Linked DNA regions of Coturnix japonica. The protein of the gene in region 1 purifies or fractionates together with the protein of each later gene. This does not show direct contact. Links are inferred from orthologs where the notes say so. Each region holds a gene or a part of one and is shown in the gene's direction. Other genes may lie near its edges. The genes, in order: MAP3K14, CAD and TIMM13.

The links.
Region 2: the proteins of MAP3K14 (region 1) and CAD purify together in Homo sapiens (affinity purification with mass spectrometry; 3 studies listed by BioGRID and IntAct, with this or other methods). This does not show direct contact. The link is inferred for Coturnix japonica from reciprocal best matches to the Homo sapiens genes MAP3K14 and CAD.
Region 3: the proteins of MAP3K14 (region 1) and TIMM13 purify together in Homo sapiens (affinity purification with mass spectrometry; 3 studies listed by BioGRID and IntAct, with this or other methods). This does not show direct contact. The link is inferred for Coturnix japonica from reciprocal best matches to the Homo sapiens genes MAP3K14 and TIMM13.

The regions. Positions count from the first base shown.
Region 1 is NC_029542.1:891,314-897,076, reverse strand, and holds the start of MAP3K14 (mitogen-activated protein kinase kinase kinase 14), read left to right. Parts: upstream 1-1,961; 5' UTR 1,962-2,083; intron 2,084-2,331; exon of another isoform or gene 2,332-4,060; intron 4,061-4,926; 5' UTR 4,927-4,944; coding exon 4,945-5,197; intron 5,198-5,674; coding exon 5,675-5,744; intron 5,745-5,763.
Region 2 is NC_029518.1:95,408,514-95,413,028, forward strand, and holds the end of CAD (CAD protein), read left to right. Parts: coding exon 1-57; intron 58-171; coding exon 172-267; intron 268-334; coding exon 335-476; intron 477-583; coding exon 584-631; intron 632-998; coding exon 999-1,043; intron 1,044-1,112; coding exon 1,113-1,267; intron 1,268-1,341; coding exon 1,342-1,416; intron 1,417-1,480; coding exon 1,481-1,693; intron 1,694-1,775; coding exon 1,776-1,901; intron 1,902-1,971; coding exon 1,972-2,127; intron 2,128-2,194; coding exon 2,195-2,296; intron 2,297-2,375; coding exon 2,376-2,470; intron 2,471-3,088; coding exon 3,089-3,191; 3' UTR 3,192-3,227; downstream 3,228-4,515. Other genes in the region: protein Mpv17, read left to right, coding at 3,295-3,355. UniProt on the Homo sapiens protein: Multifunctional protein that encodes the first 3 enzymatic activities of the de novo pyrimidine pathway: carbamoylphosphate synthetase (CPSase; EC 6.3.5.5), aspartate transcarbamylase (ATCase; EC 2.1.3.2) and dihydroorotase (DHOase; EC 3.5.2.3).
Region 3 is NC_029543.1:221,657-225,570, reverse strand, and holds TIMM13 (mitochondrial import inner membrane translocase subunit Tim13), read left to right. Parts: upstream 1-1,762; 5' UTR 1,763-1,861; coding exon 1,862-1,999; intron 2,000-2,111; coding exon 2,112-2,180; intron 2,181-2,257; coding exon 2,258-2,356; 3' UTR 2,357-2,509; downstream 2,510-3,914. Other genes in the region: TMPRSS9 (transmembrane protease serine 9), read right to left, coding at 3,302-3,627, 3,905-3,914. UniProt on the Homo sapiens protein: Mitochondrial intermembrane chaperone that participates in the import and insertion of some multi-pass transmembrane proteins into the mitochondrial inner membrane.

The DNA.
Region 1 (5,763 bases):
GCGACCTGCATGAAGCGCTGCTTCTGCCTTGGGGAGGGAGGAGCTGTGACGGAGCGCCTGCAAACACAGAGCAGCGCTGTTCTAAAGAGCACCGACACGACACGACACGACACGACACGATACGACACGATACGACACGACACGACCTCCAGGGAGCCCGAGGGAGCACCAGGTCTGTCCATGCAGCACCACGATGTTCGCCAACCCGGCGTTAAAGCCCTGCACGATGCAGCATCCAAAGCTGCGCCCCACGCGTGGGGGTGGATGTCAGACCCGCCCGTGTGAGCCGGGAAGTGAAACCTTTGGGCCATTTGCTGCCCCGTCCATCCCCGTGTAACGCTGTGACCGCGGTGAGCTGCTCACGGAGGAGCGGATGCAGCCGGTTCATCGCGCACCGTAACAGCGGTTCTCACTCTCGCTCCGTTCGCGTTCGCCCCGAACTTCGATCCCTGCAGCACAACCCGGAGTTGGGCCGCTCCGTCCGTCCCTGCATTGAAAACCCCGCCGCGAGGCAGCGCTTCTCCGTGTTCCCTTTGTGAGCAGCGGACGCTGCGAGTTCTTTGCCGACACCCACGGTCCGAACCAGCTCCGTTATCGCCGGAGGGTCCGTTCGGAGCGGAGGGGGGGGCTGAGTTTGTGACCGTAACGCTGCGCCCAGAGCCGGGACAGCGGGAGAATCCGCCGCAAACCTCAGGCGGCGTCCAGTGTGTGATGGGGATATAATGGGGGTAATAGGGGATATAATGGGGGCACGGGGGATATGGGGACACGGGGAGGGGGATATGGTGAGATATGGAGGGATATAGGGACACGGGGGGGATATGGGGACATCGAAGGTAATGGTGGATATGACACAGGGAGGGGGATATGGGGACACCGGGGGATATGGGGACACGGAGGGAATATGGTGGAATATGGGGACACGGGGGGATCGCGGACACAGATGAGATATGGGGACACGGGGGGATATGGGGGATAGGGGGATATGGGGAGATATGAGGACACGGAGGAGATATGGGAGGATGTGGGGGGACAAGGGGACACTGGGCGGGGATATGGGGACACGGAGGAGATATGGGGGAACAAGGGGACACGGGGGGGATATGGGGACACTGGGGGGATATGGAGGGATATGGGGACACAGAGGGGGACACAGAGGGGAATATGGGGAGACGGAGGAGATATGGGGGGATATAGGATATAGGGGGATAAGGGGGGATATGAGGACACGGAGAAGATATGGGGGGATATGGGGGGACAAGGGGACACGGGAGGTGGATATGGGGACACAGAGGATATGGGGACACGGAGGAGAATATGGGGGATATAGATATAGGGGATAATGGGGGATATGGGGTCACAGGGGTCCTATGGGGGGGGATATGGGGGGACACGGGGGGACACGGGGGGTATATGGGGGGATATGGGGAGATATGGGGAGATATAGGGAGATATGGGGGATATGTGGGGATATGGGCTAGGTGCTGCAGGGCACAAAGGTGGAGCTGCGGGGCACGGGAGCAGTTTGTGCTACACAGCCGGGGGGGGGGGCGGTGCCGCAGCATTATTGGTTCCGTGCCCGTCCCGTTCAGCCCGGCCCGTTCAGCCCGGCCCCTCCTCCCTTCATGGCACCACCCGCCCCTCCCCCTCACACCGACCCGCAGCCCCGCAGCTCCGCCCCGCCCACCGCTCGCTCTGCGCATGCGCGCCCACAAACCGCGCGTGCGCAGTACCACCTGCACGAGGCGGTGGGCGGGGCTGTTCGCCGGAAGCTCCGCCCTTCCGGGAAACCGGCCGGGAGGCGGGGAGGGAATCCTGGGCGGTGATTGGCCGCGGGTCAGATGGGGCGGGGCGAGAGAAAACGAAGGGAGGCGATTGGCTGCGGGGCGGAGCGGGAGGAGAATGGGCGGGGCAAGAGGAGGATCGGAGCGCGGTGATTGGCTGCCAGGCGGATGGGGCGGGACCGGCGGCGCCCGCGCCTGTCAGTGTGAGGGAGCGGCGGGACGGACGGCGGGACGGACGGGGTGTGTGCGGGGCGGGCGGCACCGAAGACCGGAGCGCGGAGGAGCGACGAGATCGGCCGGTACCGGAGGGAGGGAGGGAGGGAGGGAGGGCTGCGGGAACAGGGTCAGCGGGGCAGGGGGCTGGGGTATGCGGGGTGGGCCTGGGGCGGGGCGGGGACGAGGAGCGCCTTACCTCAAGCCGGGCCGGGGCGGGCCGGGCCGGGCCGTGCCGTGCCGTGCCGTTGCCGTGCCGCTGTTCGGGCCGTGCCGCCGTTCGGGCCGGTGCCGCTGTTCAGGCCGTGCCGCCGTTCAGGCCGTGCCGCTGCCCGGTCGTGGCGCTGCCTTTGAATTCCTCGTTGGTGACTCACCCGCTTCGAGCTGTGAAACGCGGCGCGTTGTGGCGGGGCCGAGCTGGGATCGCCGCTTCCCTTGGGCCGCTCCGGGCTCAGCGCGTGTGAAGGGCGGCCCGGCCGGTACCCGGCCCTTATAACGCTGAGGAGCTTCCATGTGTGCTGAGCTGGGCAGAACTTTGGGGTTGTTTGGTGTCTGTAGGTGTGAGTTGGAAGGCTCGGGCTGTGCTGCGGTGTCACAGTGAGCGCTGGGCCCTGCTGACAGCACGGAGCTGGTTCGGATCCACTCGGTGCTGGGGGTGACCCAGCCGGGTGCAGCTGTGTCCCATGGGCTGCAGGGCAGAGTGCTGGCGGTGGGCTCTGAGCTGGGAAAGCTGAGTGCATCAAACACATGGGGACACGCTGCCATTCACATCTCTGCTCATGAAGGGACTCGTGCTGAGGGAAACAGCGACAGATGGTTGGTACATGGAGTTCTGCTCACGGATGTTTCCCTGCAGCTCTTGTGTCCCGGCTGCAGGAGGGCCGGGTGGATACTGGTGCTCTCCATCCCAGGGTAAGCAGAAATAGGAGCTTGCAGTGCTTGCCATCAAACCAGTGGAACAGGAGGTGTCTGTAACAAACCTCACTGACAGCACCGGGAGTCCTGCACAGCTGGAGGGCAATGGGAGCCATCAGGCCATGGGAGCACCATGCAGAGGAGGCAGCACCGTACAGAGGAGGCAGCACAGTGTGAGGAGCAGCCCAGCATTGCACCTCCTGCTCTGGCTGCTGCCCTGCAGCCTGTGCTCCTTCCCAGCCCGGAGCTCCTCGTACCTCCAGGAAGTCTTTTCTCCTCTCTTTGCGTGCGCAGTGTGTGAGTTAAGGACAAGGGGCGTGTGCTGAGCGCTGCAGCTTTCTTTTCTCAATCCCTACTGAGACAAAGCGAAACTTCTCCCTCCCGTCAGCACGGAGCTGCTCTGCGCTGCAGTAACATGCTGTGAGCTGACGCTGCTGGGAACGGAACCGCCTGAGTTTGGGCTGGAGCCCCAACGTGGCAGCCCAGCCTTGTCCTGCTGGAGCTGAGGGCATTGTGTTGTGTTGGTGGAGTCCCCAAGTCAGCGCTGCTCATCGCGCTCTTCTCAATAAGGAAGTGGGAAACCTCATGGAGACGACGTGAAATGTCAACATGAAGCAGCTGCAGCACACTCAGATTGGGAGAGCAGAGCTGTGTGCAATGCAGGACACTGCTGGGGTGGGAAGGGGCAGCGGGGAGCTGCTGGGGGGAAGGTGGAAGGAGCAGGAAGCCCCGCAGCACTGCTCTGTGCCCCGCAGCCCCATGCAGCTCCCAGCGGAAGCCGTCAGCTCTGTGCCGGTGCTGCCGCAGCACAACTGATACCATGTCGGCTTTCGTTCTGTACAACTGCACTTTCTATTTTACAGCAGTGAGAACTGACGTTGGTTAACGGGCTGAGAGCTGCAGCCTTCCTCAACAACCCTTCCCGCTGCCATCCAGGGCCCTGCGTGGATCGGTGCTGCAGCGCTCGCCTTCACTTAGTGCCTCGTTACCTGACCTCTCCTTTTCCTCTGGCAAAGCACGAGCCCGTGCACACATCTGCAGGAGGAAGGAAGGAAGCCAGGGGTACTGAAATCAAGAGTTGAGTCTCAGTGATGTGGATGAGCCAGAGGAGGTTCTGAAAGCAGCAGAGCTGGGACCCGCAGCGCCAGGTGCGCTCAGTGCAGGAGGGCAGGATGGGGGGCACAGCTCACAGCTCACAGCACTTACATTGGAGCATCATGGGGCTCAGTGCTGCGTGGTCCATCCTGAGCTGCTCATCTGCTGCAGCCATTATGTAGAAGTTCTGCATCGGTTCCTTTTCATCACAGCTCCCAGGTGCTCTGAGCTGCACATTGGTTTTGGGGTCCTGTAAAGCCTGCAGGTTGGATGGCAGTGCTTGGAGCTGGCAGCTCCGGAGCCCACAGTGCCCCATCGACCCACATGAGCTTTGTGTGCTGCCCAGTGAGGTTCCCCCTTCAGATTTCACTCCCATCGATGTTCCCGTGCTGCTCCTTTCCTTATCAGGCGGTTGCGGTTCCACATCTCCCCTCCCTCTATTACCTTTTAACCGAGGAGCACCTTGCAGAGCTGCGCGCTCTCAGGGGTGGGCAGGGCTTTGCTCTGCAGCCCCTGAAGGTGAGGAGAGGGCAAGGAGGGACAGAGTTAATGCAGACGGGGCAGCAGTGAGTGTAAAAATAGCTCTGAGCCTGTTGGTGTGCGCTGCAGGCTCACTGTTAGTCATCTGCTGCCGGCTTCTGCTGCTCCGAGGGATTGTTTTACAGCCCTGAGATCTGCCTTGATTTCTGTAGAGAAGGGGCAGGGGTGGCTGTGATGATGGGGTACAGCCCCGCGTGGGAGCTGGTGGGGGTGGGTTTGTCTTGGCTTCCATGCTCAGCGCTGCGTCGAGCCTTGCTTTGCATTGGATCAGTGTTAATGGACGCCGTGGGCAGGCTTCTTTTTCTCCCGAGTGTGGAGCTGCTTTGCCTGGGAGGTGTTATAATGAGTGTTGTGCTTTTATTTTCCCATTCCTCATTAGGGGCTGTGAAGCTGTGAAATGGCAGTGATGGGGATTGTGTGCCATGGAGCTCCCGCTCCGCCCACCAAGCAGCAGCAGGAGCTCAGTGCCACCAAAGGGCTGCACGAGGCCGCCAGCGAGAAGCAAAGCAGCGTTTGCAAAGTGGAGGATTCCAAGAAAGCCATCTTCCACAGCCAGTGGAAAATCCTCAACGACGTCATCACCAAAGGAACAGCAAAAGAAGAAACAGAAGGAGGCTGCGCGTCCATCTCCATTATTGCCCAGGCAGAGTGTGAGTAGCAGGGAGCGCTGCTGTTCATTGAGAAGGGCCGCGCGAGGCGGTGTGCGGTTTCACTCTCCTGGGGAGCCCAGCTGGGATCTATTTGTAATCCCACGTGGGGTGGAGCTGCTGACACATCCTGGGCTCTATTTAGGCAGCGCATGAAACCTCTTAATAATGTGGCAGCATTATTGAATGGCACGGAGTAACAGAGCAGTGCATGGCTGCTGCGCTGTGATGGCAGGAAATGCATCACAGAGTCCTGCCTGTGCTCTTGGCTGCTGCTGAGGAGCGTTCTACAATACTAATAATGGTAGAAATGCTGAGAGGGGGTCAGGTGGGGGACAGCAGGGGATCAGGAGGTGGCGGTGCAGTGCTGTGGCTCTGCTGGGTCTCCATGTGGGTTAGTACATTGGGAGGGGGGGGTTCCCCTCCTCCTTCTTACCATCGTGCTGAAGATGTGCAGTGATCTTGTTTTCTTTCACATAGGTGAGAACAGCCAGGAGTTCAGCCCCACGTTGTCAGAGAGATCCTTCATTGCCCACAGCAAACGTTACAGGTGAGAGATCCCAGAATAC
Region 2 (4,515 bases), on another chromosome or scaffold:
AAGGGGACAGTGCGCAGGGTGGTGCTGCGCGGAGAGGTCGCCTACATCGATGGGCAGGTGGGAACCAAGTGCCACACACTGTGCTGCTCCCCTACATCCAGGAGTCCCTGGGCACCAACTCCCCTCAGCTAAGGGTCTCTGAGCACTGATCCCCTCTGTCTGTGGCCACAGGTCCTGGTACCCCCTGGCTACGGGCAGGATGTGAGGAAGTGGCCCATGGGAGCTGTGCTGGCACCGCTCGTGGCCCCCAACAAGGAGATTGTGAAGGTAATGGGGTGCAGGGTGCCACGGGGGCACAACCTGTGCCCTGCTCCAGCTCATCCTCTCTCTGCAGACCCCTGAGCGGCCCCGGCACACAGCAGTGGGTGAGACGCTGCGCAGCCGAGCCTCCAGCCCACGCCGTGCCGGCCCCATGCCCGAGGGCCGCTTCCACCTCCCACCCCGCATCCACCGTGCCTCTGACCCTGGTCTGCCAGGTGAGGGGGGGGCACAGCACGGCGCATGGGGACAGCGTGCATGTGGCCGTGTGGGAGCTGCGTCGGGGCTGGGCAACGCGCTGACCCTGCCCTTGTGTCCCGTTCAGTGTTCCGGAGGCTGGGAGCCGTGCACCGCCCGGGCGCCCGAGGCACCGGTAATGTTGGGGGGGACTCACTCAGCCCCGCGTTATGGCACTATAAGCACAGCCAATGAGTGCAGCCCCCCCCAGGTGCCGTGCCAGCCCCGGGCCCCTGTGCTGCCCCTGCGAGGGGCTGAGTCTTTGGGATGGGGCACGGCGGTGCTCCCTTCCTGCTCAGCCCCAGCCTGCCCGGCACCTCGGGGCCCTGTGCCTCCCAGGATCAGGGCTGTGTCCCATTGGGTTCCATGGGGTGCATGTGGAGCATGGCATGGGGGCTTGACCCAGCTCGTTTTGGGGCAAGCATCTCTGTAGCGTCGCGTCTGCGGTGCTGAGGGTGCCGGGAGTGCTGCGCTCTGACACTGCATTCCCCTCTCATGCTCAGCTGAGGACATGCGGGACAAGGCCGGCAGGAGGATGGCAGAAGGAGGTGAGTAATGGGGGGCTGAGAATTCTGCATGCATCAATGTGGGTTCACTGTATGTTCCTGGTGCCACAGATGCGACGGCCGCTCAGGACAGCCACCCCCACTTGTCGGGCCCCTTCCCACGCCAGGCATCCCCCCAAGGTGTTCCCCACTTCCCCACCTCACCTCTGCTGCACCCCCTGGTCGGGCAGCACATCCTTTCCGTGCGGCAGTTCTCCAAGGAGCAGGTGGGTGCCAGGTGGGCACAGGGAGGGGGTGGTCTTGGTGCCGGGTGCCCGTCCTGAGCCGCTTCTCCCCACAGATGTCACATCTCTTCAACGTGGCGCACACCCTGCGCATGCTGGTGCAAAAGGAGCGCAGTTTGGACATCCTCAAGGTGAGTAGGGAACGAACGCTGCGTGCCCCTCACCTCGCCCCACGCCTGACACCACATCCTGCAGGGCAAAGTGATGGCATCGATGTTCTACGAGGCAAGCACGCGCACCAGCAGCTCCTTCGCGGCCGCCATGTGCCGGCTGGGCGGCTCTGTGGTGTCATTCTCCGAGGCCACCTCCTCGGTGCAGAAGGGCGAGTCGTTGGCTGACTCTGTGCAGACCATGTGCTGCTACGCCGACGTCCTGGTGCTGCGGCACCCCCAGCCTGGAGCTGTGGAGGTGAGCGGGGCAGGGCTGTGTCCTGCCCTGGTGCCATCAGGGTATGTGTGGGGGTTTCACTCTTGGCCCATTCTATGCCCAGCTGGCCGCTACGCACTGCCGCAAGCCCGTGATCAATGCTGGTGATGGGGTGGGCGAGCACCCGACGCAGGCACTGCTGGACATCTTCACCATCCGTGAGGAGCTGGGCACTGTCAATGGCATGACGGTGAGATGTACGCTGTGCCGCGGGGCGGTGGGTGCTGTGCCGTGGGTTGTGCTGACGGCTCTCCCTGCAGATCACCATGGTGGGTGACCTGAAGCACGGGCGCACGGTGCACTCGCTGGCCCGCCTGCTCACACAGTATCGTGTCCACCTGCGCTATGTCACGCCCCGTGGCCTCGGCATGCCGCCCGACATCGCTGCCTTCGTGGCTTCCAAGGGCATCTCGCAGGTGAGGGACGGGGCTGGGGCTGCAGGGCTGTGACCACCCCATGGCCCTGCTGATGGTGCTGTCCCAGGAGGAGTTTGGGAGCATCGAGGAGGCGCTGCCCGACACCGACGTGCTCTATATGACCCGCATCCAGCGGGAGCGCTTTGAGAGTGCTGAGGAGTACGAGGCTGTGAGTACAGGCTGGGTATAGGGTGGGATGGAGGGCTGGGAGGGTCCCCATTCCCTTGCTGATGGCTGTGGCCCTGCAGTGCTTTGGACAGTTCATCCTCACACCACACATCATGACGAGGGCCAAGGAAAAGATGGTGGTGATGCACCCCATGCCTCGTGTCAACGAGATCAGGTGGGGCTGGGGTGAGCTGTCTTTTGGGGGGAGGGGGGGCATGGAGGGTTATGGAGTCCAGCTGGAGGGGGAGGAATGGTGGGGAGATAGAGGCTTTGGCGGGGGAGAAAAGGGGATGCGAGGGGGGGGTGCTATGCAGGTGAGGAGGGAAATGGGAGCCTGGGGGGGCTGCAAGCAGGAGGGGGGGTCCTGGGGGCAGAGGTTTGAGGGCACAGGGACGGGGCCTGTCCTGGTGAGGAGGGAGATCTGAGGTGATGGGGATAAATGGGGTCTGAATGGGGGTAGGTGGGGTCTGGATGGTGGTTAATGGGATCTGAATGGGGATAAGTGGGGTCTGGATGGGGGTAAATGGGGCCTGAGTGGGGGTAAATGGGGTCTGGATGGGGGTAGATGGGGTCTGATGGGGGTAGATGGGGTCTGGATGGGGGTAAATGGGGTCTGAGTGGGGGTGAATGGGGTCTGAGTGGGGGTAAATGGGGTCTGAGTGGGGGTGAATGGGGTCTGAGTGGGGGGTGCCTCCAGTTTGTGGTCTGGGGGTTGGGGCTGTGTCCTGGCCTCCTCCGTTCTGAGGGTGGTTGGGGGTTGTGCTGTGTCTGGGTGCTGACGTCCCGCCCGCAGCGTGGAGGTGGACTCGGACCCTCGCGCCGCGTACTTCCGCCAGGCGGAGCAGGGCATGTACGTGCGGATGGCGCTGCTGGCCACTGTGCTGGGCCGCTACTGACGACAATAAACTGCGACGGCGCGTCTCTTCATTTCAGCCAATCGTTTGCCTTGCTGGCACCGCGTCATCACTCCGCGCCGTCTCACGTGGCGGTGGGGGCGGCATGGCGGCGTTGCGGCGGCTCCTGGCTCGGCGGCCCGGGGCCGTTGAGGCGCTGACCGCCGGTAAGGGCCCGGCCTGCCCCCATGCACCGCGACACCACCCTGTGGGCGGGGGGTGGTGGGGTAATGGGGGGCCGTGGTGACTTGCGAGTGTGAGTATTGCTCACTCTTCAGTGGGGATGGGAGGAGCTGTGTCCCTCCGTGTCCGGGGCGGGCGGTGTCCCCGTTCCCATCCCCCCGTTCCCTACGGTGACGTTACGGTGCGTGTGTCCAGCCGCTGTTTGAGGCTGTTGGTTCCATCCCCGCCCCGCTGTTATATTTGATCCGCCGGGATGCCGCTCACCGCCTGGCAGCCGCTGTTTGCTGCGCCCGCCCCGTGTGCCGCCGTGTCCTGAGGGGCCGGGCTGGGCCGGGGGGGTGGAGCTGGGAACACACTGTTACAGACTTACCTCCCCCACCGTCGCTGCTCCCCGCTGGAGCCCATGGGCCAGCAGCCCTCAGTGCTCAGTGGCATTGGGTGGCCAAGGAGGGGCTGTGCCTGGGCTCACCTGAAGCGCTGCAGCCCCCCACGCTCCAGCCCTGAGCTCCGGTCCTACTGCGCAGCTCCGCTGTTCACCCAACACGGAGCTGCAGCCGGGGCCAGGCTGGGGATGTTCCTGGCAGCCGCTTGCTCTGGGGGCAGCCAGCAGCGGTGAGAGCTGCGGGGCAGCACTTTACCTCCCGCAGCTCGGGCTGGGGGCCAGGATGCCAGCAGAGCCTGAGCCCGGCAGCAGCAGCACGTGCCTGCAATGGTGACCTCGTGGCCTCTGCCTGCAGCGAGCGGCCCTGCAGCCAGCGAGGCCCACGGGGGCTGCCTACACTGTGCCCTACTTAGGCTTGAGTGCGCTCCAGGGCCCTTGGCTGCAATGCGTGGGAGCGACGGACTCAGCAAGCAGGACCTGCAGGGGCTGGGGAACACGGAGCTCCAGTACTGGGTTATGTTTTAGGGTCAGGATCACCCGACCCTCCTGGGCCACCCCAGCTTCACAGTCTGGCCCTTGTCCATCAAGGTGGGAGCGCATGCTGGGGGTTGCATCTCCCTGTGGGTGAATTCGGGGTGCTGGGTGCACAGTGCCGTGGCTGTGCCCTTAGACTGGAGTCTGTTCTGTGAGGGCCTGCGGGGGCTGATGGGGCTTCTCCAAGTTCTCAAGAAGGGAGCAGAAGCGTGTGGGCTGGACACTGCC
Region 3 (3,914 bases), on another chromosome or scaffold:
CCCTCAGCACCCTTCTGCCCTTAGATAGGTGCTCGCTGCCACTGCTTGTGTTTGGAGCAGGAATCAATAGTCTCAGGAAGAAAACAAACATCTGCTTCCCATGGGCTGTAATGGGAAAGCCAGACCAGCTGGTCTGCAGCTCTCGTTTGTCACCGAAGCCGTATTGCAGCGTGAAGCAGAACATACTGTGAAAGGAGATTCCCTTCATGAGCACGTTTATCCTCGAGCAACAGGACACCTCATGTTCAGTTCAGGGATTGCAGTGTTTTTTATGCACCCTTTTTCTTTGTAATCCTGTGTGAATCCCTTTAGCTGCAGCCTGAGCAGGGGGTGCTTGAAGAGGCACCTAGAAATCCTCTCTGCCCCCCAGAACGTGTGAGAACCTTTTTCTTTTGTGCACTAAGAAGATCCAATGCTGTGTGCCAACACTGTGTGTTGTGAGCACTCGAGGCACTTCTCTCCCTTCCTTAAGCCATTCATTCTCTATTTTCTTTTTACAATCTCTGTGAATCCGTGTTCCATTCTGGATTTCATTGCCACTGTTGGGTCCAAACCACGAGCCCTGTGCACGCAGGGGGTGGAGCTTTGTTGTAACCCAGTGAGTGGAAGGTGGGACCGTGATTGCATTATTGGATTCCTGTTGGAGCTGACAAATGGGAGGTGGCCGTTTGTCCAATGTCTGACATGGCCTGGGAAACAGAATTTTGAATTGCCCTTCAATGTGCTTAGCTTTAAACCACTTTAAATAATTTAAGTGTTTGTTTTTTTTATACAAATCATATTTACATGCAATTATCATTTGTAAGCGTAATGCCTTCCTTGAAATGCTAACGGCTACAGCGTGAATGGGGCAAATGGCTCCATTCAGAACCACACGAGCAGCAGGTGACGCTCAGTAACTGGACGCTCAGTGCAGGGGGTGGCGGATGGACCCACGTTTCCCTGTTTATTGTTATCAAAGCGATGATCCTTTGTAAGGTAAATGCTGCTGTGCATCAGCTGCCCACGTTCATCACACTAAAACCATGAGCAATAACCCATCTCAAAGCAAGGTCAGGCCACAATGCTGTACAGCTGGGCGGGCTGTTCAACCCTGTTCATAACAATGACGGTGATGCCTCGTGATCCAGTTGTGGGTTTGGTTCTGCATCCCCACGCAGTTCAAAACGCTCATTCTATTTAATGGCAGGAATAGTGATGCAGTGTGTGAATATGATGGGAGCGTTCCATGCAGCTCATGGTGCTGCATCGTGCTCTGGGCGTTACCATTTCACATCGTTGTGGGATTATTTTCTTTCTTTCTCTTTAGGATATGCATGCCAAACGTCGTGTCTTTTACAATGATTTGTAATATACATTTTAAGACTGGAAACTTTTTGTACAACACACTCAAATAAATGTTTTGCATTTTATTGGTTTCCTTTTGTCTGATCAATGATGAGGGAGGGGGGGCTGGAAAGGGGCCTTGTGCTGATGGACAGTGATGGACATGGGCTGAATGGGAGCCAGCACTGCGTCCAGGTGCCCGAGGGGACAAATGGCGGCCGGGCTGTTGTCAGCGATGGGAGCAGGACTGAGACTGAGCCCCGGGCGCTGCTGGGCGCTGCTCACACCGAGCACCGCGAGCTGCGACCCGCGGCCACGCGGTGCCGCCCAGCTCAGCTCCGCGCTGCCGCCGCGGGGACGCGCACGGCCGCTGTTCCGGTCCGTTCCTGTCCGTTCTGTTCCGTTCCGTTCTGTTCCGGTCTGTTCCGGTCCGATCTGTTCCGTTCCGTTCTGTTCCGTTCCGGGCCACGCGGGGCGCCGGGAGCCGTAGTTCTTGGGCCGCCATTGCGCTGCCGCCCCGCCGGGACCGCGAGCCATGGAGGGCGGCTTCGGCTCCGACTTCGGTTCCGATTTCGGCTCCGGTGCCGGCGGGGGAGGCAAGTTGGACCCGGGGCTCATCATGGAGCAGGTGAAGGTGCAGATCGCCGTGGCCAACGCGCAGGAGCTGCTGCAGGTCGGGACCGGCGGGGACGGAGCCGCGGCAGCACGGGGGGGGGGGGGGGGGGGGGGGGGGGGGGGGGGCTGGGGGTCGTTGTGCCCGCGGCTGCTGACGGCTGTTCCCGCAGCGAATGACGGACAAATGCTTTCGGAAATGCATCGGGAAACCCGGCGGGGCGCTGGACAACTCGGAGCAGGTGAGCGGGGCGGGGGGACGCGGCGCGGGGCGGGCGGCGACCCCCGGGATCCTCCATGACCGCCCCGTGTGCCGCAGAAATGCATCGCCATGTGCATGGACCGGTACATGGACGCCTGGAACGCGGTGTCCAGAGCCTACAACTCCCGGCTGCAGCGGGAGAGAGCCAACATGTGAAAGACAACATGTGAGAGAGAGAGATAACATGTGAGAGAGCCGACATGGGAGAGAGAGAGATAACATGTGAGAGAGACAACATGGGAGAGACCAACATGTGAGACGGGTCGGAGCGCGGAGCCGGCGGCAATAAACCCCGTTACACCGCCCTGACCCTGCGCTGCCTCCGGCTTTTATTGCACCGAGAGGTTCCGCCCTGAGCCCGGTGCCGGGTGATGGGCGCAGTGTGGGGGGGGGGCAGGGCTTCCTGCCGGCTGCACCGAGTTCAGGCCGGGAAGGGCAGCTGTTAATGCACAGGATGTCGCCAGGTCTGAAGGTGGGACAAGTCTCATTTATTTATAGACAAAAACCAAAGTCTAGCCATCTTTCTAAGCAAAGCAGTTATCAGATGGTCCCGCTGTCTGCGGGTCACAGCACACGAGCGTTTGCTTCGTGCTCGCAGCCCATCTTCACTCCTTTGCAGCATCCCAGAGGTGTCCGGTGGTGCTGGTGGGCTCCGTGCGGCCCCTGGCCATTATTCCTCTCGTTGGCACCTTCCCTGAGTGGTGAAATTCAGCTCCAGAGCTTGAGGTTCTGCGCGATCCAGCCCTGCACCGCGGTGACTTTGGTGTAGACCCCAGGGAAGAACGGCCGGGCGCAGCCATAGCCCCAGCTCGTGATTCCTGCTAGAAACCACCGTCCTGAGGGTTCTTTACATGCCAGGGGCCCACCTGCATCACCCTGCAGAGAGAGGGGAAGGGTCCTGTACCAAAACAAGACAACAGAGCCAGCCCAGCCCCGTGCTTATGATTCTGCTGTCTGATGCAGGAACATTTGCTGTCCCGTTGCCCACCTCTGCAGGAGCCCAGTGCTGCATTTGTGTGCACAGAGACTGGGACACTGAGACATCTCCAGAGCTGCAGCAGGGCTGTGCAATGGGACACCCTCACGGTGCCCTGTCTGGTGTTACCTTTGTTTGTATCCCTGAGCTGACCAGGTTGGTGGGATACACAGAGCACAGCGTGTGTGGGATGGACTTGGGGGAGGGGGTGGGAGGGGGAGGTTGTGGGATGGGCAGCTGGGCTGGGGGGGGGCATGGGGACTTGGCATGAGTTTGCTCCATCCCACAGCACCGTTTGCTGCTCTCACACTCACTGAGCAACTGTCGACGGTGCCGTGTGGGAACCCAGCACACACCATCCTGCTGCTGATCTGGACAGGGTAGAACTTTTTGCAGTCCTGGTCTCCAATCACATTCACTGCTGCTTTTTGCAGATGCTTTGTCATGAGGCCTGAGGAGACAAGGGTTGTTGTTAGCTTGGTGCAGAGCACACAGTAATACAGCATGTGTAGGAGAGGGGTCGCTGTAGCTTTAATCATGTGCCAGAGGGAGAGACCTGCACTGGGAAGGTGACCCAGGCCTGGTTCCTCCCCAGCAGAGGGAGCACAGGAAGGTCCTTTTGTGCTATTGTTTGTCAGCCTGTGGGGGGCAGAAGCATCCCCTGCAGAGTGTGGGTTATGTGGAATCTTTGGGGCAGTGAGATGGGAAGCGTAGTGGGGAGGCAGTACCTCCTTCCTT